Notamacropus eugenii: one gene and its partners. The protein of the gene in region 2 interacts with the protein of the main gene of each other region in a pairwise test. Links are inferred from orthologs where the notes say so. Each region holds a gene or a part of one and is shown on either strand. Other genes may lie near its edges. The genes, in order: PHF10, L3MBTL2, TBC1D9B and STAC3.

What was found.
Region 1: the proteins of L3MBTL2 (region 2) and PHF10 interact in binary tests that used the Homo sapiens proteins (3 or more experiments, as listed by UniProt). The two-hybrid records come from large-scale screens. The link is inferred for Notamacropus eugenii from reciprocal best matches to the Homo sapiens genes L3MBTL2 and PHF10.
Region 3: the proteins of L3MBTL2 (region 2) and TBC1D9B interact in binary tests that used the Homo sapiens proteins (3 or more experiments, as listed by UniProt). The two-hybrid records come from large-scale screens. The link is inferred for Notamacropus eugenii from reciprocal best matches to the Homo sapiens genes L3MBTL2 and TBC1D9B.
Region 4: the proteins of L3MBTL2 (region 2) and STAC3 interact in binary tests that used the Homo sapiens proteins (3 or more experiments, as listed by UniProt). The two-hybrid records come from large-scale screens. The link is inferred for Notamacropus eugenii from reciprocal best matches to the Homo sapiens genes L3MBTL2 and STAC3.

The regions. Positions count from the first base shown.
Region 1 is NC_092873.1:266,066,046-266,073,941, reverse strand, and holds the start of PHF10 (PHD finger protein 10), read left to right. Parts: upstream 1-4,880; 5' UTR 4,881-4,939; coding exon 4,940-5,029; intron 5,030-6,396; exon of another isoform or gene 6,397-6,578; intron 6,579-7,896. UniProt on the Homo sapiens protein: Involved in transcription activity regulation by chromatin remodeling. Belongs to the neural progenitors-specific chromatin remodeling complex (npBAF complex) and is required for the proliferation of neural progenitors.
Region 2 is NC_092874.1:300,263,226-300,270,284, forward strand, and holds the start of L3MBTL2 (lethal(3)malignant brain tumor-like protein 2), read left to right. Parts: upstream 1-4,040; 5' UTR 4,041-4,207; coding exon 4,208-4,225; intron 4,226-6,741; coding exon 6,742-7,015; intron 7,016-7,059. UniProt on the Homo sapiens protein: Putative Polycomb group (PcG) protein. PcG proteins maintain the transcriptionally repressive state of genes, probably via a modification of chromatin, rendering it heritably changed in its expressibility.
Region 3 is NC_092872.1:416,422,781-416,430,705, forward strand, and holds the start of TBC1D9B (TBC1 domain family member 9B), read left to right. Parts: upstream 1-4,915; 5' UTR 4,916-5,077; coding exon 5,078-5,195; intron 5,196-7,925. UniProt on the Homo sapiens protein: May act as a GTPase-activating protein for Rab family protein(s).
Region 4 is NC_092874.1:232,680,167-232,687,268, reverse strand, and holds the start of STAC3 (SH3 and cysteine-rich domain-containing protein 3), read left to right. Parts: upstream 1-4,089; 5' UTR 4,090-4,185; coding exon 4,186-4,284; intron 4,285-4,555; coding exon 4,556-4,823; intron 4,824-5,082; coding exon 5,083-5,180; intron 5,181-5,413; coding exon 5,414-5,489; intron 5,490-5,937; coding exon 5,938-6,029; intron 6,030-7,102. Other genes in the region: R3HDM2 (R3H domain-containing protein 2), read left to right, coding at 1-348. UniProt on the Homo sapiens protein: Required for normal excitation-contraction coupling in skeletal muscle and for normal muscle contraction in response to membrane depolarization. Required for normal Ca(2+) release from the sarcplasmic reticulum, which ultimately leads to muscle contraction.

The DNA of each region.
Region 1 (7,896 bases), on a different chromosome or scaffold from region 2:
CACGGAAACAGCAGGCATGTCCATGTGATGGGAACCCAACCACTGCCTCTACTTAGCTACCTGCCCCCAGACCCATTCCCACATATTTGAACAGGTATGTTCTTGTACTCAATCACAATCACATCACCCATCCAGTCCAAGACAGGACCATAATACTTAACTATCTATCTTGACCAGACAGGACCACAACAGCTAGCCAAATGGAGGGCAGCATGATCAGAATGCTTAACCACTAAGCCACAGATGGGATCCCTCCTCCATTACCTAATCCCTTAACAAACTCCTTCTGCCTTTTTAATATTAATCATATTCCTATATTCTATGTAAATTTCTGTTATGTAATTATATCTTTACCCTACAAAAATCCATCTTGCTTTCTTGGAAGTTGCTAGCTCCTCTTGGAACTTAATCAGCTTTTTGAGAGGCGACAATCTCAATAAATGCCTATACTTGGATTAGAGGTAGTTTGACTCTGAATTCTTTGATACAGTTCTACCCCAATACATCATGAAACCAAAACAATTTTTGGTGTCCTAGAGTTGAAACCTCAACAGTTTTTTACAATTAGATTATTTAGTTTCCAATTAATTTTTATTCTCCCATGGTCTTTACTGAATGTAATTTTTATTGCCTTATGCTTTGAAAGGGGTGCATTTAACATTTCTGCTTTTCAGCATTTGGTTTTGAGGTTTTTAATACCCTAATCCATGGTCAGTTTTTATGAAGGAGGTATGTATAGCTGAGAAAAGGGTATATTTTTATCTATTCCCATTCATTTTTCTCCAGAAGTCTTTTATCTAACTGTTCTCTAACATTCTATTCATCTCCTTGAATTCTTATTTATTTTATGGTTAGATTTATCTAGTTCTGAGAGGGGAAAATTGGGGTCCCCATTTGGCACATATATTTTAGTATTACTATTACTTCATTGTCTATAGTTCCTTTTAGAAAGATGTAATTCTCCTGCTTATACCATTTGATCAGGTCTAGTTTTACTTTTACTTTATCTGAGATCATCATTGCTGCCCTTGCCTCTTTTATTTCAGTTGAAGAATAACAGATTCTGCTTCAACCTCTTTATTTAACTTTATACATGACTCTCTGTTTCAAGTGTGTTTCTCATAAGCAACATATTGTTGGATTCTAATTTCTAATCCATTCTGCTGTCCACTTCTGTTTTATGGGTGCCTTCATTCTATTCACATTCAGTTATGATTACTAACTGCATTTCCTTCCATTCTATTTTCTTCTCTTTATGCTTCTCTTTTTATATATCCCTCCTTCTAAAGTCTGTTTTGCTTCTGACAATTGCTTTCTTTTGTCTGTCTTCTCTTTAATCACTTCCCTTGCCCCTTTTTCTTACTTCTCCCTTTTTCTCATTGGGCAATATAGGTTTCTATTGCCAATTGTATATTAATTACATAAAATTAAAAGGTTTTTGCACAAGTAAAAGCAATGCAGTTAAAATTAGACAAGCAGATATGAGGAAAATATGTTTTCAGCAAGTTTCCCTGACTCATTTCTAAGATTAAAAGCCATTCCCCAGTTGATAAATGGACAAAGGATATAAATAACCAGTTTTCAGAGAAAGAAATCCAAGTTATCAAGTCATATAAAAATGCTTTAAATTATTAATTTGAGAAATGCAAATGAAAATACCTCTTAAGTTCTAACTCACACCCATTAGACTGATAAAGTTGATAAAAGAAAAATAAATGCTAGAGGTATTGTGGAAAAACAGAAACATTAATGAATTGTTACTCTGGATGGTGACCTCACCTAGACATTCTGAAAAGTAATTTGGAATTATCCCTCTGCAGCTACTAAACTGTGAATTCTCTTTGATCCAATGATACACAAAAGAGTAAAAGGGTTCATGTATACAAGAGTATTTATAGAAGCTCTTTTTGAAGTAGCAAAGAACTGCTCAAAAAATATTAAACTCATCAATTAGGGACTGGCTGACCAAGTGATAGTATATGAATGTAATAGAATAATATTGCGTTGTAAAAAAATAATGAAGATGGTTTCAGAAAAACCTGGGAAGCGTTATATGTTAGAACTGATGCAGAATGAAGTAAACAGAAATACAATTTCTATATTAACAACAATGTTGTAAGGACAAACAACTTTGAAAGATTTAAGATCTATAATCAGCACAATGAAAAAGCACAATTCCAGAGGACTTTTAATGAAACATGTTACCTGCATTCTAATACGCAGGTAGGTGATGGACTCAGTACAAATTAAGATAAATTTTATTTTGGACACAGACAGTTTGGGAATTTGATTTACTTGGCTATTCCTGTTTATAACGTAGGTTTTCTTTTTTTCTCAATGGGAGAGAAGATGGTATTAGGGAGAAAAGGAGGATCTTTAAAAAATGTGAATATTATGGTACAGTTAAGAAATAAGAAAAATTTGAAGAAACAAGAGAAGATTTACATGAACTGGTTGAGATAACAATACATATAATGACTACAACAACTTGAATGAAAAGATCAGTAAAACAAAGTATTGAGTAACTGAAAAACCAATAAAGGAGATGGAAAACAGATGACATATCTCCACAGTACCATGGAAGACTATAATGCATATTACAGCATACATTTTCAGATGTCACTATATTGGATGCTTTTACTTTGTTTTGATGTCTTTTTAATCACAGGGAAAGTAATCTGAAGGGTGAAAGTTGAAATGACAGATGCAAAGACAGGAGACATTAATAAAATGTACTTTAAAAATCAAAGTAAAAATCACTTTGTAAAAGTCAGCATTATTACAACTGTGTCATTAATCATTAGCAATTAGTGTGGGATAGGGATGGGGCTCAAGTAGAAAGCAGTAAAGAAGAAACATGTCAGACCCACTTAAGGGTGCACCTAGAACTGTGAGGGGGCACTTTAAGCCTGCCTTTAGGTAAATTCAGAGAATATGTTCTTACATATATTTGTTGTCTCTTCTTCTATAATGTGTAATGAGGGACTGACCAATAAGCTCAGTTCTTAGGAGTCCTTTATGAGTGCAGCAGCCTGGTCAATACAGTTCTCCTCATAGGAGAAGCTGGGGAACTTTCTTTAAGGAGACTGAAGTGCCTTGGAAGGACTCTGAAGAATGTGTAGACATTCTGAAATGAGTTTTGTTCTGCTAGCCACATGATGAATGGCAGCCTCTACGACTTACAGTTGAAGAACCTGATTCAGAGGTACATGCAAAAAGTTTTGGTCAGTTTTGGCTTCTCCTTTGTTGGATCACCCATCATGGTTTGACTCCATTGATAATTTCTGTTGTGTGTGTTTGTCCTTCCTTCTGAAGAAGACCATGCCATCACAGAAATGATGACATGACTTGCGCTTGACATTGCTTTGAGTGAGGGAGGCTATGCAGGTCACCAGCCTCACTTCTCCTCCAGAGCCATTTGAATCCAGTGACCAGATATTCATCAGAATGACTGGAGATGGCCCAGGATGAGGCAATTGGGGTTAAGTGACTTGCCCAAGGTCACACAGCTAGTGCGTGTCAGGTGTCTGAGGGGAGATTTGAACTGAAGTCCTCCTGACTCCTGCACTGGTGCTCTATCCACTGCACCATAAGAACTAGAGGTAGCTACAGCTGAAGAAGGTAGTTTAGCCTAGAAAGAGGAAAAATAAGGACATACTTAAGCATGAAGGTTATCTATCATCTACCTGATCTATCTGTGTACACCCCAGGGGGGGCATACAGATATCTATCTCTATCCCAGTCTGGGCTGACTGGTTGGAACGGCCCCAACTACACATACATCTATGTAACATGTACACACACGGTTACATTTATACAGACATGATTGCACATGGGCTCTCTGTCCCAATCAGCACCTCCCTCTCTCATGCGTGTGTGCAGATGCACGTGGGTATGTATGTAAGGTCAGTCACCCCCGAGTGAGATCGATCTTTCCCGGCACCAGGTGACTGGGGGCCTGGCTGTATTTGGGGACCCCAGTCTGCCGTGTACAGGTGCCCCCCATTGCTGCTGGGGCTCCCCACGTGCAGTCCCCTATACCGCCCTCTCGGTGCCGGGACGAAGCCCGCCGCCCTTTCCCGGGGTGTTTTCCGGCGAACAGGACACAATAGCAGGGAGGACAAAGGCAGCCCAGGGGCGGAGGAGGCCAAAGGGCCGGAAGCCGGCCGCCCCGCACCCCGCAGAGCCCTCCCGAGGAGGCCCCGCTCCGCCCCGGAGCTCCTAAGGCAGGGCAGCCTTAGGAGGGAGCCGGGCGGGAGGGGACGCGCCGGCCCCCGGACGCACACCACACAAAGGCGGGGCGGGGGCCGCGGCCAATGCGCAGAGCGGCCCGGCTGCGGCAGCGGCGGGAGCGGAGAACAGAGGGGGGCGGGGCCGCCGAGGCTGGGGCTGCGGAAGGAGGCTGGAGGGGAGGGGGCGGGGTGGGGAAATCGAGGCGAGGGGGAGCGGACCCAGCGGAGCCGGCAGCAGGATGGGCCAGGGGGCGGGGGAGCCGGGCTGCGGTGGGAGGGGAAGGGGGTGACGTGAGGAGGGGGCTGAGCCGCGATCGCTTCCATTCCTCTCCCGCTCCCCCGCTCTCCGGGCAGCAGCGGCGGCAGCAGCCTCAGCGGCGGCGGCGGGAACTGTGACTGTGACGGCGGCGGCGGCGGCGGCAGCAGCGCTGGCGGCGACCGTGGCGGTGACGGTGGCGGCGGCGGCGCCGAGCCGGGGGGCGCGCGGCGGCGGTGCCGGCCGGGGCTCGGGCCGGGGCCGGCCGCCTGGCAGCGGCAGTGGCGGCGGCGGCGGCGGCGGCGGCGGGCGGGCGGAGGGGGCAGGGGAGGGGGCGGGGCCGGGGGAGCGGACGCCGCGGAGGCCTCTCCGCGCGGCGGCGGCGGCGGCGGTCAGGACGAGGCGGCGGCGACGGCGGCGCCGGCGGCGCGGGGGGCTCGGGCTCGGGCTGATGGCGGCGGCGGCCGCCACCCCCGGGGCTGTGCTCTCCCCGCGCCTGTGCGACAGCAACCCGGCTACGCCCGGAGCCCAGTCCCCGAAGGTGAGCGGGCCCGCGAACGGGGAAGGCGCCGGCCTGCGGGGTCCCCGGGCTCGTCCCGCCCCTGGGAGCCCCTAACGGCGGCCCTTAGCCCTGGGGGTCGCCAGCCCCATCGCGGGCCGGACGGGGTCGGGGTACCCCGGAAACAGGTGCAGGCGGGCGGGGTCCCGGGAGGGTCTCTGCAGTTCCGAGTCAGGGCCACAAGCTAGGGAAGTTGCCAGGGATGTGCCCGTCAGCCTCCCCGAAAAGTCCGGCCCCAAGCTGTCAGCGAGCCTGGATACCGAAAACACGGAAGAGGAAGGGAGCAACCAGACGGGGCTTAACCCCGCTTCGCCTGCGGGTCGTTCCTGAGCGATTTTTAAGCCACCCCCCTCCCCCAAAAGTTCTCAGGTAGCCCCAGAAAGGAAGTCTTCCTCGATCTTGGCCCTTGCTTGCTTCGCCCCCCGGGCGGCCCGGCCTGGCCTCTGTGGGCTGGCTGTCGGCATCGTTTGGGACACCCGGGCCCGGACAGAAGTCTCCACAGTTCAGGTCGCTGCCAAGAAAGGACTTGGTCCTGTTTTTGTGCGGTTTGCTCAGGTGTATCCGGATATTAACTCGGATCTTAAGTTCACTGTAAAGAGTTTTTAAGCTCCGGATAACGCCGCAGAACTGGAAAGGTTTTGTAGCTAGTTACATTTTTGGCATGTCCACATGTGTGCAGTCACAAAGCCGTTGGAGTATTGAAGTAACACTTGTAATTATTTCAAGTTATTGAATTTATAGTGAGTCACTAGTTTACTGGAGAAGTTAACATAGGACCACCACAAAAGAATCTCATTCAGGAGACCTTTTTCATCCAAGACACCTTCAGTTTTACTCCGGAACTTTGTTTACAAAATGACCTTTTTGCCTCTTTTTGAAAAAGAGGGATTAAGTTTGTTTTGCTTGGATCTAGCAGAAGCATTGAGTGGAACTTGGAAAAAGGCAAATTTAGATTTCATGTTAGTAAAAAACTTAGAAATACCCAAAAGGGAAATGGGCTGTCTTGAGCAAAGGCTGGATAACCACTTGTGGGATTATGTTGTTTTGGGGATTTTTTCTGCATCCTTTTTTATAAGCACTGGCCAAAATTGGAATGAAAATTGCTCCTGAAAATATGAATAGAATATTACAAGAACACTTTTGCATGCATTATTTTGCTTGATCCTCAACCATTTGAATTAGGAAATTCAAATATTATAATCCTCCCATTATATATGACCTCAACACAGTTGAAGTATAGAGTCAGCCTTTCAGTTTGTGAGACCCACCCCACCTCTAACTAGCTTTATGACCTTGGATAAGTCACTCAACTTTAAGTGCCCCAGGCACTTTTTTTTTTTTTTTTTTAGGTTATACATTTGGGTGCTGATCTGCTTTAAGTGGAAGGTGTTTTCAGACTAGGAGGTCCCTGTGCAATGAAATTGAAAGATGAAGTTCCTTCCTCCCCTCTGGAAAATAAAATGCAAATGAGGAAAAGGTTCCGAGGAGTTCTAACTTATCTCTAACTAGTGAAAGAAGGGAGACTTCAGCTGTGAGTGACAGTGATAGATCTAAATCCAAAGTACCATATTGTATCTACACTATGATGTAAATGCCACGTATTTTATTTTTTAAACATTTGCCTAGATTTTCAAAACTGTGAATCTGAGTCAGCATTTTCTTTTTTAGAGAAGCTGACTAAAAAAATTATCAATCATGGAAAAATAAACCAGCCTTTGACCAAAAATTAATAAAGCATATGCTTAAGATAATACAAAAAATGGAATCAAAACTAGGGCATTTTGATATTTCTGACAATTTTTATTTGCATTTTTTCTTCAACTGGATTTTTTAAGTACAAACTGGAAAAATGGAGATCTTCCTATTTTGCAAGGGGGAAGAACTAAGGACAAAATAAGAATTTAAATATTTTTAAATGAAAGGGCAGAGAAAAATATCCAAATGAGCATATGTAATCTTAGAAGTTAAAAATACTTTGTGGCTTAAAAGTCATGATTAAATGTTGAAAGAGAAGCAAATACTTTTAAAAACTCATCTTGAGATCTAGTAAAAAAGTTGAAATACAGCAGTTAGACATTGAACAAACACTGTATTTCAGGCTAAGTACTAGGGATACAAAGGCAAAAACAGATCCTGCTCTCAAGGAGTTAGCCTTCTAAGGGGAGAGCCAACCTGTAAATAACTATGAACTAATAATAAAGTCAGTCATCTCAAGATTAAGGATGTAACCACTCTAGATTTGGAAATTGTCTTTTTTTTAAACTGGAATTCTTTTACTTTGAAATGATGATTTTATTGGTATGAGAAAATCACAAATCCCCTGAACTTTTCTAATGCGCTTCCTCTGGCTCTTCTAAGATTTCAGAAGTATATAGTAATACAGGGGTTTTCTATTATTCACTTTTGATTTTCACAGTAATCACTGACTTGACACCTTTTATAGTTTCTTAATCTTCATATCTTTTATAGCATTTTTTTGTCTTGGTAATATTCTGAAGCCAACCTTATAACCATCAGCAAGATCTCCATTGCCCTTTGAGTACTTGTAATTTTAATTTTCCTAACATTATTGTGTGTATGATTTGCATTGGTATAGCATCATCAGGAGAACAATGTATAATGCTCAAGAGATGCTAGATTCTAGCATCTGAACTTGACAGAACAAATCCCCTTAAATAAAAGGATCTGTTCTGTGAAGTTTGGATTCAGTCAGAGGGCCACACTTGAGAACCTAGAGGGCTATGCATGGCAGGTTCCCCACCCCTGTTTGCTAGAAGAACATCTGCTAGAGATCAGGCGTAATCATATTTGGAAAACTAGACTATTTAATTTTTAAAAACAAATTTTTA
Region 2 (7,059 bases):
GTTCACATCCCACCTCAGACACTTACTAGCTGTGTGACCCTACGCAAGTCACTTTCCTCATCTGTAAAATGAAATAGAGAAGGAAATGGCAACCCGAAAGGGGTCACAAAGAGTAAGACATGACTGGAAAAAAAAGGCTAAAAATATACTGTTTACTATGTACTAGGCATTGTGCTAAGTCCTCTACAAATATTATCTTCCTTGATCCTCCTCACAACAACCATGGGAGGTAGGTGCTATCATTATCCCCCTTCTACAGATGAGGAACCTGAGACAGACAGAAGTGAAGTGACTTACCCAGGGTTACATAGCTAGGGAGTATCTAAGGCTGGATTTGAGCTCAGGTCTTTCTATCTCCATGCTCTGAGTCTAGCTGTTGTGCTCCAGATCAGAGTTAAGAAGCTGTGCAAAGTTGCAAAATTGTTTTTCTTCACAAATAGTTGTAGTCCTTTTATCAGCTAGTTCTGCCCATCATGCTGCATCAGTTCATACCATCCAGGATTCTCTGAAACTGTCTCTTTGTTCATTTCTTATGGTGTAACACTATTCTATTACATTCACAAACAGCAGTTCTTTTCGCCATTCCCCAATTGTCTAAGAGGCAATATGATACACCCCTGTAGAGTCTATTTTTTTCTCCTTTGTTTTCCACCTGCAGGATGAGAATATTTATTTGGTTTATGATGTTTCCCTCTTCAACATCATTCTCTCTCTTAATCTCCACCACTTTTTTTCCTCCTCCAGTTGAGATGGTTGGTGTTGAGCCTGTGTGTGTTTTCCATCCTCCTTTTTTTATTTTGGGTAAGAGTGAGGTTCATTAAACACCCACTTCCCCACCCATTCCTCTATGTTTGTATGTCTTCTCAACCCCCACAATTAAATGAAATAATAATTTCTCCCTTTTTCCTCCTTTTAGACACTAGTACAGTCCTCTTTTTACTCTCTCTCTTTTGGCAGTTAGTCCAGTTTGACTGAAACAGTGTGTTGAGGGGACCATGCCACAGTCTGAAGGTATTAGTGGAGTCAGAGGGGCAAGGCTCAATGACTTTGAACAAATTATTTTCCTTCTTTTGAACCTCTGTAAAATGAAGAGAGTTGAAAAAAATATTTATTGTGCTAAATACTGAGGATACAAAGAGAAAATTGAGACAGTTCTTGTTCCTAAACATCTTTGATTCTAACTGGAGGTAGAAAGCACAGGATAGGAGGATTCTGATGCAGGACAGAAGGCAATCTTATTAGGGTGCTGCAGCAGGGTGGATGGTAAGGCCTAGTGGTCTTCTTCATAACTGGGAGAAGAGGATCTGACCATTCAAGGACCAAATTCGATGATCCTATACCATAACCTCACTCTACATATTTAGTCTTTTCTCACACTTTTCCACTCATTTTGTCTATGAGCAGTCAGTCTGGACTATGAGATATACTGAAAATATTGTGCTTTTCTGCCTCTAGGCCTTTGGTCAAGCTAATTTTTGTGCCTAGACAGATCTTCTTCTCCTTGTTCCATTTTTGAATTCCTTTTGAATTCATCTAATTCAGATACTCAGAACTGTAAAGCAACCTGGCATGTTGAATAGGGCATTGCATTTTGAGTCAGGAAGACCTGGGTTCGAATTCCACCTTTGATACTTACTAAATGTATAATCTTGGGCAAGTGATTTAATCATTCTGGGTTTCAGTTTCCTTACCTTTAAAAAGATGTTGGAATCCATGGTTTCTATTGTCCCTTCCAACTTTAAATCTATAATGTTATGATCTACCCTTTATGGCACCCAGAACAGGGCAGGCAGCACAGGATTTACCTGGTTGCTTCTGTGTCTAGCCCAGAGGAGCTTGCCTGGAGAACAAATAGATCATTATGTATTTTCATTATTTTCATTTTCATTATCTATTTTCATTATCTATTATCATTATTTTCAAGTCAGTTCAACAAGTATATATTGAGTGCCACCGTGTACCACAGACTGTGCTAAATGCTAGGTATACAAAGAAAGATAAAAGACAGTCCCTGCCCTAAGGGAGTTCACAGTCTGTTGGGAAAGACCACATGCAAACAACTATGAATGAGCAAACAAGTTACAGATTGGATAACTTGAAGATAATCAACAGAGGGAAGGCACTAGCAATAAAGGGGGATGTGGAAAGACTTCTTGTAAAAGATGGGATTTTAGCTGAGGCCTGAAAGAAGCCAAGGAAGCCAGGTGGCAGAGATGAGGAGATAGAACATTCCAGGCATGGGGGAATAGCCAAAGAAAATACCCAGAGTCTGGAGATGCAGGTTCATGTGCAAGGAACTGCCAGGAGGCCAGTGTCATCAGATTAATGAGTGTGTATCAGGGGACCATTGGAAGGGTAGGACAGAGCTAGGTTACGAAGGGTATTGATTTTGTATTTGAGCCTGGAGGCAATAGGGAGCCAATGGAGTTTATTGAGTAGGGGATGACATGATCAGACTTGGGCTTTCGGAAAAAATACTTCAGTGGTTAAATTGAGAATGGATCGGAGTGGGGAGAGATTTGAGGCAGACAGACCCATCAGCAGCTACTACAATAGTCTAAGCATAAGATGATGAGCATCTGCATGAGGGTGGCGGCAGGGTCAGAGGAGAGAAGGGGGCATAATTCTGCAGAGGTAAAATCATCAAGACATGCTGCAGCGATGAAATCAACAAGAGGTGCTGCAGAGGTGAAATCAACAAGAGAAGCTGCAGAGGTGAAATCAACAAGAGATGCTGCAGAGGTGAAATCAACAAGAGGTGCTGCAGAGGTGAAATCAACAAGAGAAGCTGCAGAGGTGAAATCAACAAGAGATGCTGCAGAGGTGAAATCAACAAGAGAAGCTGCAGAGGTGAAATCAACAAGAGAAGCTATAGAGATGAAATCCACAGCCCTTGGAGACAACTTGGATATAGGAGGATGAGAAAATCCAGGATGATTTGGAGATTGGGAGGCTGAGGGAGAATGGTGATGCACTCGGCAATAATAGGGAAGTTAGGTAGATTATGAGAGGCAACAGGCTCAATGGGCAGAGAATAATCCTGGGAGTCAGAAAGACCTGAGTTCAAACCCTGTTTCTGTCTCACATAACCCATATATGACACTAGACAAATCTATTCACCTTATTGCCCCAGACAGCTCCGAACCACTATAAATTACAGAGAAGGTAAAGATCTGCATTGGTGGAGGGAGTTTCTTCATTGGAAGGTGAGTGAGAAGAGGAGCGAGGCCAATGGAGCAGAGGCAGCTATATTCTACATGCAAAACCACAAAAGAGCTCCTTTTCTTGGTGGTGGTGGGGGTGGGGGTGGGGATCACTGTCAGTAATCTATACACTATCCAAATGGTAGAGTGCAAACAATACTGAACTTGGAATCGGTGCGACTTGGCTCTGAACCTCTTCTCTGTATTTATTAGCTTCATTATTTTGGACAAGTCTCTTCCTCATCCTGTGCCTCACTTTCTTCCTCTGTAAAATGAGGGGGGGTTGCACTGGATGGTGTCTCAGGTCCCTTCCAGCTGTAATTTATAATTCTTTAATTTATAGGTCATCTATAATCTGTAATTCTATGAATTGATCTTGAGTCAGAGCACATGGCTTTAAATCTTGGCTCTGATTTTTCTAATAATGTTATCTTGGGTAAGTCCTTTCCCCTCCCTAGGCCTCAGTTTCTTCTTCTGCATAATGAGGAGGCTGGTCTAGACTGGCTGCTGAGATCCCTTTCAGCTCTATCTCTAGAATCCATCACTTTCCTGGACCTCCATTTCAGCTTCTGTATAATGAGGGTCGCTGGCCTAGACAGACTCTGAGATCCCTTCCAGTTGACGCCCTAGGATCCCTTCAGCTCCCTGAACCTCAGTTTCCCCCTCTGCATAATGAGGGGCTGTCCTACACCGCCTCCGAGATCTCTTTCAATCCAAAGACTGAAGGCTTTATCAGCCTATGTCCTCTCAGCTCCGTCCCGCCCCCTTCTCACTCCCGGGACTACACTCCCCACAAGGCTTAGCGGGCCTATCTAAGCACGCGCCAGGATGTGGGCGGCCCTTCCTGCTGCTCTCGGCGGCGACTGGCCTGGCGCCGCGGGACGGCTACCAATGGGCTTCGTGCGGGCGGAAGGCGCGGCGGCCATGGCGGCGGCGGGCTCGCGGTGAGGGCTTCGGCTTGGGTTCGGGCTTCGGGCTTCGAGCCTCGCGGCCTAGGCGGCCTCATGGAGCGGGGCCTCGAGGTGAGCGTGCTCTGGTCGGGGCCCGGCCCGGAGAGCCCAAGCGCCCCCTGGGGCCGGGCCGGGGTCCCCTGCGCAGGGCGGAGGAGTAGACGGGGAAGGGGAAGCTTTGTCCCTTTAACGGTGGGTAAACTGAGGCACGCGCAGTCGCAGAGGCGGGGGACCGAACACGTGCTTGCTCCCGCCGCAGAGGCGCCCGCGACCCTTAGCCGCGGTGACCTCGCAGGCCTTTTACAGAGAGGGAAACTGAGGCCCGGAGAGGCCTGGCCCGGCGTCCGGGGCCCTCGAGGGAGGCTGGCGCGCCCAGGCCTAGGGGGGCCTGACTCTTCCTTAGCAGAGGGAGCTCCCAGGGGAGCGCACTCCCTCCGCCTCCCCCACCCGCGGCCGTGGGCTTCCCCGGGGGGCCCCGGTGGGGGAGGGGGCGGGTCAGCCTGGGGGAGCCCCCCCCATACTTAGCGAAGCCCCCCGGGGCCCCCAGCTTTGGGCAGAGGCCGAGACCCAGCCAAGGTCACCCAGTCAGAGCTGGGCCTCGGATGGGCTTTCCCGGTAACCGGGCTTGGCATGCAGTAAGTGCTTAATGAATGCTGCTTGGCCCGCCCCGCCCCGCCCCCCGGGTGCCTCTTTTTGTTCCTGTCCTGGATACTAAGACCAGAGCTTCGCCGACTCCCATCGCTCCGGGCACTGGGCCGGGCTAACATCCGTCCGTTGGCCCCACGGGGTGGCGTTATTTGTATTTATTGTGCTTGTCATCATTTGTTTGACCCCACGTGGAGGGAGGGAGGGAGGCAGTCAGTGTTAAGCACCTGCTGTGTGCCCCACGCAGAAGTCAGAGGCCCTTCCCAGCCTGCCGTCCCTTGGCGGCTCTTGTCATCTCTGCAGATGTTACTGCAATGACCCTCTCTAAGAACTGGAGGGGATTGGGGGCTTCTTGGTAGTCACCTAGAAGGCTTTCCAGGTACAGTTTTAGATTCCTGCACCAGGGGTATCCTGGTTTAATTCACCCTTTTGTGCCTTAAAAAATAGATTTGCCCGAGTCACCCTCCAGCAGCGTCCTTGGTGGGTGGAAAAGAAATAAGGGTGAGCAGAACCCCCAGACATGGCAAGGCCCACAGTGGAAGTCAGGAGTAGGCTCCCAGCTTTGGTGGGGGGGTCTTTAGGGTCACTCCCTCTTCCCTTGGGCCCCTCCCTCTGTCTGCTCCTGAGCCTCTGGGCAGGCCCACTGCTCTGCACCAGTTCCTATGAGTCTTTTCCAGGTTTTCTCTGCATTTGTCGTCTATGTCATTTTCCATGTCACTCTGCATGTCCAGGCCACCTTTGGTTCCGCCACACCCCTCTTGGGCCCGCCGTGCTTTCCTGAAGAGCTGGGACTGTTTTATTATAGGAGGCACCTCTGTTTCTGTGGTCAACCTCTCACTAGTGGGAGGCCTGAGGTGGGAGTTGCAGCTTTGGTCAAATCATTTAAATCTGTCTTCCCGAACAGCTCCACCAAGACTGTATTGGGGTCCCCCGCCGACAGGGACCGGTCTCTTCCTTTGTCATCTTTGCCCATTTTATGACTCACATGTCCAATAAGAGTTACTTGAATTGGCTTTTCTCTTATGATTAGTGATTTTGGGCTTTGGGGAAGGCATCCATGTCCTTTCCCCTCCTCTCTTATTGCCCTACCCCAACTGTGGAAAGGCCCAGTTGGTCACCCCCTCACACCTGGTTTTGAGTAAGCTCAGTTTTAGACAGTGTATGAGGAAGTGTGCCCAGAGACAGACAGACAGACAGACTGACAGACATACCCACCTCTTCCTAATCCCTTGGTTCCCTTTATCATTTCTTAGACCTCTGTCACTTAGCACAGCTAAGTGTGTAGTTCTTGTGTTTGTCCTTCTTGAAGAGGATCATGACGTAACTCCTGCAGCAGACCTTGATTTGAGTGAGAGGGCTGTCCAGTTATTCTGATGAGTGTCAGGCCACTAGATCCAGATGGCTCAGGAGATGAAAGTGCACAGCCCTCCCTCACTCAAATCAAAGTCAGCTATAGTGTATTGAGTGGTAGGGACTCAGTAAATACTGGGTAACTTCACTTGTTGACTCAGCTGTTGAGTTGGGGGTGGGGAAGAAGGGGTATTAATGGTTGTGTGTGTGTTTTCACATCACCCTCCTTTCTGAAAATGTCCCCTTTCTCTCCTGCTTCCAACGTGAGCTCTCCCTTGTCAGAAAGAGTCACCTTTTTCATTGTCCATATGGGACAGTATTTCTGGGACCTTTGAGGGGGTCATTGGCGGGGAACCAGAGACCCAGTGCAGAGGCCAACCTGGGGACCTTCTCTAAGCCTCCTCCTTCCCTGCCACACCCAGGTGCTCAGCAAGCATTTATTAAGCACCTGCTCTGTGCCAGGTGGGCCCTATGTGCCAGTCCTCATGCCCAACCTGTGGAATTCCGAGGAAGACAAAAGGCAGGCCTGTCCTCAAGGAGCCCACGGTAGAACAGCAGTCTGCCGTCCTCACTTTCTGTTACTTTCCCACCAGGAGACACCCTCCTCTGAGAGAATGGAAGATGAAGAAGAGGAAGATGAGGAGGAGGAGGAGGAAGAAGAGGAGGAATTGGACCTCTTTGGGGACTACGACACCTTCCAGGGCTACACCAGCAGCCTGGGCAGCGAGAGCAGCTCCTACCTGGAAGAGTCCAGTGACAACGAGAATGAGCTGAATGACCGAGAAGCCGGGGAGCTCCCCACATCTCCTCTGCTGATGCCCAGCCCCATCACCCCTCGCTCCCAAGATGGCAGCGGTTCTGAGCCAGGTGCTTTCCAGGGCCCCTGAGGTCATGGGCCAGGCCTGTGGAAA
Region 3 (7,925 bases), on a different chromosome or scaffold from region 2:
ATGGACCTGAAGTTATCAAGGGTACAGAGTTGCCATTTAGCCAATTACTAAATTAATTTATGATGTTCAAATCAACAACAGTCATTTATTAAATGATGGCTAGGTACCAGGCACTGTGCCAGGCAACAAGAATACAAAGACAAAGATGAAATATATCCCTGCCTTTGAGAGGCTTACCTAAGTAGCATGTACACTGATATGTACATGCAAAATAAATTAAAAGTAATGTACATACAAAATAAATTAAAAGTAAAAGAAGGTACCAACAACTAAGATAATCAGGAAAAGTCTCTTTTAAGAAGTGATACTTGAGCTAAATCTTAGGGTAATTTAGAGATTCTAAGGGGTGGAAGTGAGGAGGAGGAAGGGAATTCCAGGCAGGGGGGAAAGGCTAAGGAAAGGCACGGTGGCAAGAGGATGGAATGCCATGTCCTGAGGACAGCCAGGGGGCCAATTTGTCCAGCACACAGAGTGCCTGAGGAGGGAACTGTATGAAATCAACCTGGAGTCAGATTGTGAAGGACTTCAAATACCAAACATATTTTACCATAGCAGCAATAGGGAAGACACTAAACTTCTTGATCAGAGGAAGGACAAGGTCAGAACTGTCCATGAGGTAGCTGTGTGGGGGGGAAAGATTTAAAAGGGCAGAGATTGGAGATCAGGGGACCAATAAGGAGGCTACAAAACAGTCTGGGTAAGAGAAGGATATGAACAGGCAGCTTTCAGAGGAAGAAATTAAAGCTATCTATAATCATATAAAAATGCTGTAAATCACTATTGATTAGAGAGATGCGAATCAAAACAACTCTGAGTTACCACATCACACCTATGAGATTGACTAACATGACAAAACAGGAAGATGATAAATGTTGGAGAAGATATATGAGAGTTGGAACACTAATTCATTGTTGGTGGAGCTGTGAGTTGATCCAACTATTCTGGAGAGCAATTTGGAACTATGCCCAAAGGGCTACAAAAATGTGCATACCCCTTGCCCCAGCAATATTGCTTCTAAGACTATATCCCAAAAATATCATAAAAATGGGAAAGGATCCCACATATACAAAAATATTTATAGCAGCTCTCTTTGTAGTGGCCAAGAACTGGAAATCGAGGGGATGCCCATCAACTGGGGAATGGCTGAACAAGTTGTAGTATACGAATGCAATGGAATATTATTGTGCTATAAGAAATGATAAACAGGGGGACTTCAGAAAGGCCTGTAAGGACTTATATGAACTGATGCTGAGTGAAATGAGCAGAACAAGGAGAACATTGTACACAGTAACAGCCACAGTGTGTGAGGACTGTTTCTGGTAAACCTAGCCCTTCACAACAATGCAATGACCTAAAACATTCCCAAAGGACTCTTGAGGCAATATGCCATCCAAGTCCAGAGAAAGAACTATAGAATCAGAATGCAGAAGAAAGCAGACTATTTTCTCTTGTGTTATGTTTTATTTTGACTTGTTTTTTCCCATGGTTTCTCCCATTCATTTTAATTCTTCTATGGAACATGACTAATGTGAAAATGTGGTTAATAAGAATATATGTGGTTGAATAGGAAGGGATGATACCTAAAAAAATAAAATTAAGGGGTGAGAGAGGAATATATTGGGAGGAGAAAGGGAGAAATGGAATGGGGCAAATTATCTCTCATAAAAGAGGCAAGAAAAGGCTTTTTCAATGGAGGGGGAAAAGAGGGAGGGGAGAGGGGAAAAGTAAAGCTTACTCTCATCACATATGGCTTAAGAAGGGAATAACATGCACACTCAATTTGGTATGAAAATCTTACACTAAGAAAAGTAGGGGAGAAGGGGATAAGTGGGGTGTGGGGGGATGATAGAAGGGAGGGCAAATGGGAGGAGTGAGTAATTAGAAGTAAACATTTGAGGAGGGCCAAGGTCAAAAGAGAGAATGGAATAAATGGGGGGCAGGATAGGATGGAAGGAAATATAGTTAATCTTTCACAACATGACTATTATGGAAGTCTTTTGCGTAACTACACATGTATAGCCTATATTGAATTGCTTGCCTTCTCAGCAGAGATGAGTGGGGAGGGTGAAAGGGAGAGAAGTTGGAACTCAAAGTTTTAGGAATGAATGTTGCAAATTGTTTTTGCATGCAACTGGGAAATAAGAAATACAGGTAATGGAGTATAGAAATCTATCTTACCCTACCAGAAAAGAGAGAAGATGGGGATAAGGGAAAGGAGGGTGTGATAGAAGGGAGGGCATATTGGGGGAAGGGGTAATCAGAATGCATGGTGTCTTAGGATGGGGTGAGGGGAGAGATGGGGAGAAAATTTGGAACTCAAAATCTTGTGGAAATGAATATTGAAAACTAAAAATAAATAAATAAATGAATGAAGTATGTGTAAAGCCCATATAAGATTGCTTGCTGTCTCAGAGAGGGAGGAAGAAGGGAGGGGGGGAGAATCTAAGACTTGTGGAAATGATTGTAGAAAACAAATCAATTCATTTTAAAAAAAAGAGGTGAGGAAAGATTGATCTATGGTGGTTACCATATTAATGGAAAGAACACTGAATTTGAGAGATGTCTTAGAGGCAAAATGAACAAGCTTAGGCACTTGTTCAGATATGGTGGGAAGCAAGGCCTTCAAGTTGATTCTGAGGCTGCAAACCTGGGTGTCTAGTTCTATTCTGGATATCTTGAGTTTGAGATGCTTATAGTAGGAGGTGTACTGGAGCCAGCTTGAATTACATCACCAGAATCAATTTTTAAATTTTCAGTGTGAACATTTATTCCTCAGAAACTGGCAAATACTACAAATCAGGACTTAATTTATTGATTTATTGATTGTCTACACTCAAGAAAGTGATGGAGAAGCAATACCATTATTAGGTCTGCATCCCAAAGAGATCATAAAAAATGGAAAAGATTCACGTATACAAAAATATTTACAGCAGCTCTTTTTGTAGTGGCAAAGAATCAGAAATTGAGGGGATGCCCATAAATTGGGGAATGGCTGAACAAGCTGTGGTATATGAATGTAATGGAATACTATTGTGCTATAAGAAATGATAAGCAGACAGACTTCAGAAAAACCTGGACAGACTTACATGAATTGGTCCTGAGCAAAGTGAGCAGAAGCACAATGTTATACGATGAACATACTTAGTTCTTCTCAGTAATAAAATGATCCAAGACAACTCTGAATGGCTCATGATGGAAAATGCTATCCACATCCAGAGGAAGAACTATGGAGTCTCAAAGCAGATCAAAACATATTATTTTCTTTTTTTTTTCTTTCTCATAGTTTTTCCCTTTTGTTCTGATTCTTCTTTCACAACATGAGTAACGTGGAAATATGTTTAATATGATTGTACATGTATAGCCTATATCAGATTTTTGCCATTTTGGGGAAGGAGAGGGAGAAAGGGAGAAAAAACTTAAAACTCAAAATCTTACAAAAGTGAATGTTGAAAACTATTTTGCATGTAATTGGGAAAAACAAAATGCAATTAAGTGGGAAAAAAATTTTAAGTGATGGAGAAAATGTTAATAATGCAAATTAAACTTAAAGGTGCGTTCTGTATACTTTTTTCTGAACGTCAGTTGTTAGACATTTGTCATTTACACCCCTACCTATGGAATATCCATATGGAAATGTTCAGCAAATAGTTAATTGTTAGAAACATACTTCAAACAAAGAACAATACTTGTTGTGAAATCAGGAAAGCTCATCGCCCTGAATGAATGAGTGGTTCCTGATGGACTGCTCCATTTGTTCAGACCAAAGCAAGCCTTTTCATGCTGTTCCCAATTCAAATTTCCCACCTTGCTCTCCATTGACCAGCATTCCACGATTCAGCCCACCCCACGTGGGCCACATTCCTCATTTTCATTATAGAATGACATGAGATAAATTCTTTTAAAGGAATTCCCTTAACTGATGTGCAGTCTTTCTGATGTTGACCTGAAAGTTTGGTTAAAGATGCAAACAGGTTAGGTGATATCTTAATTGAAAAGGTGGTAAATACAATAAGATAAGAGAGTTGACAAAGTATTGATTGAAATTGAGACCCAGGATATCTGTGCTTTCTTTACCATTAACATGCCATAACATAGTATATGTCCACAAAATATTAAGAAAAAGTCCCATTATTCAAGAAAGTGTCTTAGTTAAGGGTCTCATAAGAAATGCTCTTAAGTCAGCCCCATCTGGTGCTGTTGACACAGGCAGAGGTACTCTCTAAGTTTACTCAGAGTACAAAGAAGCTGTGAGGTCCAGATTCTTCTTCTTGTTGATTAGTTCAGGCTCTGGCCCTTATTGAGGTCCAAAGATGATATTAAATGATTATCACTGGTATTACATATCTTACATATTTTCTGTGGAAACGTAAGTTTAATTCATCTCTTACATATTGATGTGGGCTGGAGAGTAGCTTAGGGAGGCCTTTACACTGATACAAAAGTTGAACCCATACAACTGATGGAATCTCCAAAAGAAAGACTACAGAGAAAGAAGAGACCTCAGGACAGAGTCCAGAGTTACACCCAAACACAGGAGAGACAAGAATGATGTGCTCAGTCCCATGGAACTTCCCTGCGGAAGGCCAAGCTCAGAGCCCAGGGAACGGCCCCAGGACCTCAGCCCCCTCGGAAACATGAGCTGCCCGTGCACTCACTGCTGCCTGACCTGCTGGGCAAAGGCAGAATGTGGAGAGAGGGAGAGAGGAAGGAGGGGAAGGAGGGGAAAGAAGAAGTAAGGGGGCGGAGGAAAAAGAGGGAGGGGAAAGAGAGCCAAGGGGCGGGCGGAGCGAAGAGCCGGGAAAGGGGGTGTGGCCGAGGCTGCGGGAGGAGGCGGGGCCAGGCCCGGCTGCGCGAGGCTGGGGTGCCCCGAGAGGCCGCCAGGGGGCGCTGTGCGGACGCCGGGTCCCTGGCCCCGTAGGCCCTCACTCCCTGCCCGGCTCCGCTCGGCTGCGCTCGCTCCATCGCTCTTTCCTGTGCTCCCGCCCGCTTCGCTTCCGCTTTCTCGGGGAGCTGGGCCCGGCCCGAGCCCGACCGCTCCTGCTGCTCCGGGGAGCCCGCGGGGCTCCGGGTCGGCAGCATGTGGCTGAGCCCGGAGGAGGTGCTGGTGGCCAACGCGCTGTGGGTGACAGAGCGCGCCAACCCCTTCTTCCTGCTGCAGCGGCGCCGCGGCCACGGCAAGGGCGGCGGCCTCACGGGTGAGGGCCGGGGCGGCGGGGCGCCGGGGCGGCGGACGGGGAAGCCCCAGGCCGGGGACGGTGCGGGCCGGAGGGGCCGCCGGGGCCGCCGGAGAGGGGGAGGGGCGAGGACCAGAGGCCTAAAGGAGTGCTGGGAGGGGGCGGGGCCCTGGAACATCTGGCGACCCTCCGGGGCCCCTGGAGGGGGAGAGGCTGCCGCGGGGGTCCCCGGATCCTTCGGGAAAGAATCAAGAGGTGCCAGCTTGCTTAGGGAGCGTGCCATGTGTCCAGCCGGTTATACCGATGGGGAAATTGAGCTCCCGAGCAGGTCCTGGCCGCGGAGGGCCTCCGGACCCGCCCCCCGAGCTGTCTGGAGAGCGCTGGGGCTTCAGCGAAGCCCAGGATCTCCCCTCCGCCCCGGGCGGGGGATGCCACTAGAGCCCCCCGTCAGCAGGCCTGGCTTGTCGCCTCCCAACACGGGAGGGGAGGTTACTGGGCTGCCTGATGGCCTGGGTACATCCCCAGGGGAAATTGTTTGTAGTTTTCTGGCTCTTCCTCTCAGTCAGCTGTGGCTTCTCCCAGATGTCAAGGGTGCCTTCCAGTAACATCTGCCCCCCCTGAACGTCTTAGCCTGGTCATGAGAATCAGGGGAGGAACTTGACCTTCCTATGTGAAAAGTCGGTGCTAATCCCCGGAAATACCGAAGTATTAGCTCCAGAATCCAGGCAGATCTCACACCAGCTAATTGTTCTACTCCCTGAAATTCTCTACCGGTTTGGTTGACTTTAGCTCCTGCCGAACTTTTGGTACAAAATCGTTTGGTCGACATGTTAGATTTTGAATTTCCAGCCCCAGGCTAAAGCGATGGAGTTTTGTTGAACAGATTTCCAGTGCTCTGTACTTTGGGGTACATCGCGGTGGAGAGACAGGGAAAGTGCCCCAGTCCTCTGTTCTCATCCTGCTGTTGATCATGACCTTGGACCTCACAGAGCTCTTTGCGTATATCTCTCTCATACAGTTTTTGTTCATTTGTCTTTCTCATACAGCTATGTTCTCATCTAAACTTTCCCTATACTCAGGTGCCTAAGAAATGATTTGTTAAAGAATTAAATAATGAAGTGAATGCTGATAGATATCTCAAAAGTGCTTTGGGATCCTTTAGAAGTTAAGGTAATACAGCTAGGTCCCAGTCTCTGAACAGTAAACCCAAGGAAGAGGTCACATTCAAATTGTCATTGTATATTTCCATTGGGCTGGAACCAGTAACCATATTTTACATGTAATTATAACTTGGAACATTCAAATGATATGACCACTTCACAGGAATCATTATTCAACCTGTCTCTATAAGCAGTACATGCTTCCGTGCCAATGTTATAGGAAAAGGAAAGACTAGTCACTTATAGATAGAACAAATAAAGACCATAAAGAAGAAATTATGACTGTATAAAGTAGTTATATAGTGAGAAACGCAGTACATTTAACACTCCCACTTTTCCAGAGGTCAGACATCTAGTATTCTCAAACATATGGAATGTTCCCCCAACCAGAAAAAAGCAAAGACCTTCAGATCAGCATCATGTACTTTGTGCCTCTGATGAACCGGGCCTTCCTCCTCCAATATCTTTATCCTGGATGTGCTCTATGCTCTTCCTGCATGACTCTTCTTGAAAGCCCAATTCAAATGATACCTCCTCCCAGAAATCTTTCTTTGGTTCTAATGACTTTTTAACACCTCATGGTATTTTGTTTTTCAACTCTTTGATGAATTTAGATCATATTACATATTTTAGATACATAATTTAGATCCTTTTCTCCCTAATAGACTATGAAGGCAGATATCATATTTTATCTAAACTGTATCCCATACTCAAAAGAGTGCTCTCAATGCAATAGGCTCTTAAAAGTATTGAATGAATGATTAGATGATGTGAGAATAGTAGCTAGTGGGAGCACAAAGACTATGGGGAAATGTAACAATGAGAAGAGATAACTGATAGCCAGAAAGAGACAGAAAAAAACAGCCCAACCCAGTCCAAAGCCATTTGGCCTAGCCAAGAGCTCCATAAACTTCCGTAGGCCTTGGGGGAATGATTTCATTACAGTTAGAGCATAGTCATTGGCACTCATAATGATAACCCTTAGTCACTGAGAAAAGACTAATTTTTATGCAGAATTATACATCAATTATTGTGTACTCTCAAAATGTTATTCTCAGTATTCTCTGTTTAAGAAGGCAGGGATATATTTCCTGCATTTTAGAACATTTGTATCCATAATGTTTAAAATAAAGCAAGTTTGAACAACTAAAGGGATAAGATTTGGTAATCTAGAAAATGAATTTCTGTGGAAACCCAACCTTAGGTCCTAGGTAAGTGCTAGAATAATAAATTAGCACTACACTAATTTGTGTTAGAAGCATGGTCAGGAAAAACTGGCTACTTCTATCTTTATGGAGTCACCAAATTTTAAATAGATAAGTACAGAAATAGAACTAAAAGAAAAATTGGTCTTCTGATAGGGAAGCATGCTTCCTTTTTCTCAGTGGAGAAATGGACTGTAACTGGAAAATGAAGTATTTGTCATCAGATATCACCAATATGTTGACTTGTTTTGTTTGACTTGTCCTTCTTCATTACAGGGGAAAGGTCTATGGTAATAGGAGAAGTAAAGAGGATGAAGGGAACACAGAATAATTGGGAAATGAATTTGATGTCAGAAAGTGGGGGGAACACATCAATAAAAATATTT
Region 4 (7,102 bases), about 68 Mb from region 2:
TTGGAGGTGACAGATCTCCCTGAGGGCATCACCCGCACAGAGGCCGACAAACTCTTCACGCAGCTCGCCATGTCCGGCGCCAAGATCCAGTGGCTCAAGGACGCTCAGGGGCTGCCAGGCGGCGGGGGCGGGGGCGGTGGGGGGGGTGGGGGGGACAACAATGGGACTGCCGAGAATGGCCGGCACACAGACCTCGCTGCCTTATACACCATCGTGGCTGTGTTCCCCAGCCCCCTGGCGGCCCAGAATGCCTCCCTCCGCCTCAACAACTCCGTGAGTCGCTTCAAACTTCGAGTGGCCAAAAAGAACTATGACCTGAGGATCCTGGAGCGGGCCAGCTCCCAGTAGGCAGAGGAGGGGAAGAGGCCAGCACCACGGGTTGGGGCAGGGTGGTGTGGGCAAGGGATGCAGAAAAAGCACAGATAGAGATGCTGATCCAGACAGACATGAGACATGCATAGAGATAAGACATAGATATGGAGACTGAGGCCATAGACAGTGAGACAGGCAGACACAAACACACACAAACACACACACACAAACACACACACACACACACACACACAGAGGACTCAGTCTGGGGTTTTCTTTGCCACCTTTTCCCTCTCTTTCTCTGGGTGGCACCTCTCCTCTCTGCCTCCCTTTCCCTCCAATCCTCTCCCTCCTTTTTTGGACATCCCTTTTTCCCCATCCTGGCCTCCAATGCATTTCTTTCATTTTGGAGGGGTAGTATGGAGGGGTCCTACACTCCCCCATTCCTCCCCTTCTCCTGCCACCCCATCTCCTCTTCCTCTTTTTGGTCTTTATGAATATATTTATATGGACAGAATTAAGAAGAAAAAAATAAATTGATTTTCCCCCTCCTTTCACTTCCCCACCATCTTGTCTCCCCTATCCCATGAGTTAAACCTGTGCCTACCCCTCCTCTATCCACCCCAGCCCCCCAGAACACTTGTATATTGTTTGTTTGAGGTTCGTGCCGCAGTAACAGACACAGTATTTAATTGCACATACAGATGTTTGCTGGGTATGTTCACTGTAAATTTTATTTAATCTGGGTTTTTTGTTTGTTTTGGGGGGTTGTTTGGGGGGTTTTATTTTATTTTATTTTTGTTTTGTTTTTAAATATAAAAAAAAATCATCTGTCACTGGACGTCAGTCCTGGTTTCTCTGTTACTGCCCTTGGGAGGGGGTTGCAGGGAAGGATTTGGGATAGAGTGGAGTGGAGCTGCCTTCCAAATGGATGTGATCCTGCCACCCTCTTTCATTCTCCCATCAATCCTCCACCTGTTCCTGTAGGTGTCTAAACCTTTGGCTTCAGGTCCCTGATGGGGCAGGTATGAAGTGAGGACATGAATGCAGCTGAGTTTCTGGCCCAGCCCTCATCTTCCACTTTCCCCCTGAAGTCTTTTTTAATACTGTGCTGGCAGGTAATAGGGGAGTAAGTGTTCCCTGCAATAAAAGCTGCATTTCCAGAACCTGCAGTATTTTGACTTCCTCAGTCAGTCAGGATAGTCTCAGCATCCCCTTTCCTACATACAGGAGAAAGAAAAGTCATACCTAACAAATTAGCCCTATGCTATATCGCCACATACCCCTTTTTGATCCTCATGCCTCTCAGTAAATCTCATTTTCCTTAAGTTGCCCTCGATCCTAAGATATCTTAAGAACCCAGATGCCTAGAAGTAGATCCACCTTCAAGTTCAGCCTACACAAAACCTCACTGCCAGAAACTTACTGGCGATCTTTGACCCCACTGGACCCCATGTAGAAAGGAACAGAAATGGGTTGAACAGCCTGAGCTTTCACTTGGGGCTAGGTAGCTTCTCTATTGGGTTTTTTCTGACCCTCCAGTCTAATCCAGCTGTTAGAGGGTCTTCATACTTCATACTTGGAATTGGTGAGGCAATATGTTGTCATTAACAATTTCTCTGCTGTGGTAGGAGTATCTCCCCGCCAAGCTATCCCCCTACCCAAACTAATAGAAGAAGAATGGCTTGGTACAGTGGAGAGAGCCCTGGACTTGGAGTCAGAGGCCTTAGGTTAGAATTCCAGCTCTGCTGGCTCTGTTACTCTCTGGGTGATCTTGGGCAAGTCACAAGGTCTCTTGGTATCAGTGGCCTCATCTTTAAAATGAGGGGGTCAAACTAGATGACCTTTCAGGTCTCTTCCAGTTCTAGAAATCTGTTACCCTATGATCCTGTGACATGCACTTCAGGTACAAATTGGCCATATTTGTGAAGTCCATGTTCTGGGGCATTCTGGTGTGGGGGAAGGGGAATCAGGATGTTGAGAACCATCAGAGAGAGGGGGAATGGGAGGGCCATCTTGCCCCTAAAGTCTTCTTGACTAACATGGTGGGAGGGTCAGGAAATAGAGGTCTGGCGATACACTAGTTATGAGGACATTTTCTTAAGTAGCTGAAACTATCTCTCCATTGTTGTTTCTTGTAAACATGGAGGCAGCTCCCCCCCACCCCCATCTGGTCATTGGGTTGTTGAGATTCTTCATTCCCTTTTCCCATATGGATCCTAGACCACTTTCAGTCACACTCGGGCTCCCTGCCAGCGTGGTTGGGATGGGAGATTGCGGGGAATGAATGTCCAGATACGATTCAAGAAAGGGGGCCATATTAGATTGTACAGTTCTTTGCAAGACAGGTAAGCTATCCCCTTCCCCTCACCAGGGATGAGGAAGCAGCCATATCTTGTTGAGAAGTAACCCTGTGAACTTGAGTTGTCTTTCTTTTATCTCCCACCCCAGTTCTCAGCCTAGGACTACATCTGCCTGAAGTGTTCATAAAGGGACAAAAAGCCACCCTTGATATATTCAAATGTAGGTGCCCTACAAAGACTTGGGGAAGGATGATGTGAATAGGTGGAGTTGAAGCCAGTAGCCTATGGCTTCTAAGGGTGGGTCCGGAGTAGATAGAAATGATGAAAGTGTTTAGTTTTCAAAGTGGAGGAGGGGCAGGTTGTAACCTTTTTTACTCCAATCAACTTTCCAGAATCCCTCCTAAAGGGGCACAAAATATGAGCGGAATTGTCCTGTAAAGCATTTAGTTACTACTATACTGAACATAGGTGAAGGGGTGGGGATAGGGCAGCTGTTATCTCAGCCAGTTGTGGCTGAAGAGATTTGGGGGAGGGAGGTCAGGGTCCAACACTGCCCCAGGCCTTTTAGTTTCCAATTTCTCTGTGTCAGCTGTGTTGCTCAGCTGTCCACTCTCCTCTAGCCCTGTCACTTAAGCTGTGACGCTGAAGGGAGAGGCTAGGTCTGCACGCACCAGCTGGGGAGACGTGAGCACCAAGGGTATTTTGGGGGTATAAAGCCCCCCGGGCAAGAGGACAAAGCCTTCTTTTTCCATTCCCATCCAACACCAACACCAAGCCTCCTAACCTGGCATCCTCTTACCTCCACTGGCTGTGGACTGACATAGGGAATCCCAAACGTAAGTTGCCTTTTCTTACGACTTACCAGACAGTGACTCCTTGGGCTCCCACATCTCTCAGCCAGTTCACCTCTCCCGTTTGCCTTACCTGGCTGTTAAGTAGTCTGGGGTGTACCAGTTCCAGTCATTTCTTTCCCTGAAGAAAGGGCTGGGATCAGGAAAGAGGGTTGGGGAGTTAATGTCCAGGGTATAGAGTAGTAGAGAAGGGAGGTCATATTACATTGAAAACTTAAAAATAGCCAACCCCCAAGGCAGGCTGGGGCAGGGCCTGACCTAGAGGTAGTGTTAAAACGCACTCCCACCCCCAGGCTTGGAGAAATGAGGGGAGCGGGAATTCTCTACCTCTTTTCTCAAAGTGAGAATTTGGGGGAGGGAGAAAAGGAATCCAGGGAAAGGTTACATAGGGTCATATACAACTGCCTATAGCCTTGAAGAAAAGAGAAAGCCTCAAAATGAGAAGTCTGTCTTGATGGAACTTCTACAAGGGAATGGAGGCTGTCTTCCGTAGGCCTACCTCGGTCATCTCCCAGTCTGGGCCCTTATATGGAGTCTCCTTGTTTAGGCTCCTTTGTTTATTAGTCTCTCATTCTGGAAGAGGGAGATAGAGACCCCCTTTGTGTGTCTCAGCTTAAGAGACCTGCAGTTCTCTTCCCAAAGCTCTATTTGTCCTATCCTACAAGGTGAGTTGAGTCCCTAGAAGTAAGAAAGGGAGGGGGGAGGGGTGGCAAGGAAGGATGAAAAATCAACAGTGGGATCCCCACTCTTGCAGGATGACAGAAAAAGAGGTTCTGGATTCTCCCAAATCTTTCCCAACAGAAACACCAAAGAGTGGGGTGAGTCTGGGCCTCTGACACAGGGCTTTGATAGGTGGGAGGGCACACTAACAACCCCACTCTTATCTGAACTGATGGTTACAGAACTAGAGGCTGTGGGGCTCATCTCAGTTATGTGTAATTTATTTAAGGTACATTTGCCCTACACACACACTCTCACTCCCTCTCCCCTCTGGGGAACATCTCAACCCTTGACCCAGAACATTTCCCAGGTGGTTTTAGCCTAACGAAGTGGAACTGTAGTCTGAATCTTCCCTTTGCTCCTCCCTAGCTACAAAGGCTGAAGCAATTATTCAGGAAGGAGTCTGTAGAAAGAAAGGAGATGGAGCCCCCCTCTGAGCCCCAGGCCAATGGAGAGGCAGTAGGGGCTCAGGGGGGACCCATCTACTACATATATGAGGAGGAGGAAGAGGAAGAAGAGGAGGAAGAGGAGCCACCCCCTGAACCCCCTAAGCTTGTCAATGACAAGCCCCACAAGTTCAAAGATCATTTCTTCAAGAAGCCCAAATTCTGTGATGTCTGTGCCAGAATGATTGTTCGTGAGTCTGGGAAATAGAGGAAGATGGGATGTGTAGAGCGTCATGGGACTGTGGGTTGAAGGGACTGGGAGAGAGATCAATATTGCACAAATTTAGATGAAGGTGGGGACTGTTAATGGATGTGCTTAGAGAAGCCTGGATAGGTTGAGGCAATCTAAGAAATGAAAGAGGAGTCACTCGGGATTGGGGTGATGCTGGAAGCAGAGGAGTAGAGAAAAGGTTTCGTGATCTCACCCAAATGTTCTTTCCCTCTACCAAGTTAACAACAAATTTGGGCTACGATGCAAGAACTGCAAAACCAATATCCATGAACACTGCCAATCCTTTGTGGAGATGCAGAGATGCTTTGGCAAGATTGTGAGTTAGGTCTGGGAGCACGGGGGTGGAGGGTAGTGTTGAGGACATCTGTACTCTGGATGAATGCTTCATAAGTTACCCCCATTCATTCCTTGGTATCTGCTTCCCCAGCCCCACTCATAAAGGACAAAACCCCCCTGAATAAAGGAGGAAGGCTCCTGGGTGCAGAGAGGGGGCTTTTGGGTCCAGGGCCCTCTCCCCTTGTCTCAATCACCTTCCTGTCTCCCCCACAGCCCCCTGGTTTCCGCCGAGCCTACAGTTCTCCACTCTATAGTGACCAGCAGTATGCCTGTGTCAAGGACCTACTGTGTAAGTTGCCTTTATTCCTCCACCCAGTTGAGGGAAATATGCCAGAAAATTGATTGTTTCTGTAGTCTGGAAGCTTCTTGGTCACCATGACTGCACCACTCCTGACTTGGGAAACTGAAACTTAAGACTGAAGTCTCTTGATGCCTAAATTCTAGACACCCTGGTTTTATTCTCATCCTGAAATTTTTAGCCACTCCAGCTTGTAGACTCTTGGAAGGAATCCATACCTATCTTGAATACCAGCCCTGTTGTTTCTAGGCCCAAGTGTCCCTGAGTTCTAAGTAGAAAGCAAAACTTCTAGTCTCCCCCCTCACTTCCCTGTTACGTTCTCAGACCTCCTTCCCCACCTGTATCCACTCAGTCCTGCTGTCTTCCACAGAAGAGGACCCTCTCTTCCTGTTCGTCAGTAATGTTTCCTTCTCTTTCCTATGCCCCCTTTTACTCCTAGCCAACCGAAATGACCCTGTTTTTGAGACACTTCGAACTGGAGTGATCATGGCAAACAAAGAGCGGAAGAAGGGACAAGCAGACAAGAAGAACGTGAGCTTCTTCTGCCCCTTTCATGGTTGGAGCCCCACCCCCTTCCCAAGAGACCTGCTTGAGACCCCTCAGGAATGCCTAATAAAAATAATGGCTAGCATGTCTGTAGAGCTTTAAGGTTTGCAAAACCCTTTACAAATATCTCATTTTATCCCTGGAGGATAGGTGATAGTAGTATTACCATCCCAACTGTAAAGATGAAGAAACAGAGGCAGGCAAAGGTTAAGAGACTGGCCCAGGCTCACACAGCTAAGTAATATCTGAGGTCACATTTGAACTCAGATTTTCTTGACTTTGCCACAAAGCTGTTCTAGATTCTCCAGATTATCCCTTAGAACTACAGCTGGGGGACTGTGACTGCCATTGAGGGGGAGGAGAACAGTAGTTGGGCATTATGATGAGGTTATCAGGTAGGATGCTTTTAAGAAGAGGAAAATATGTTCCTGCTAAACTAACCTTGTTTCACTTTCTGATGAAGCCATTGGACTAATGGATCAGGAAAATGTTAGTTGTGCCTTGACTTGAGCAAGGCATTGCTGAATGCTTTTAAAAAGCAGATTCTGTGAAGTAACCAAGTGCTTTTAGACCTGCCTGGAACAACATGTTTGTCAAGTTTGTGGATGACCTGAAGCAGGGACAGGTAACCAGTGTGCTAGCTGACAGAATTACAATTTAAAAACATCTCTTAGGGCTGAAAAGATAGGCAGAAATAACAAGATGAAGCCTAATAGGAATCAGTATACCTTGTTTACATTACCTCGGTCCTATTCCTTTCCTATTTTTACCTCATTTGAAGGTTCCATGGAAAAGGAGAGGCCTTAAAAGAAGAGACTTTTTATCAAACCCTTGATGAGCCAAGTGCATATTTTGTCAAGTGGAAGCAAGGTGGTGCAGTGAATTGGACCTGGTAGGTCTGAGTTCAAATCCTGCCTCAGATGCTGGGACCCTACCCTCCCAGGCTCAATTTCCTCATCTGTAAAAAGGAGATAATAAAAGCACCCAAGTCACAGGGTTGTTTTGAAGATAAAATGAGTTAACATATAAAGCCTTTTGCAAACCCTAAAGTGCTATTA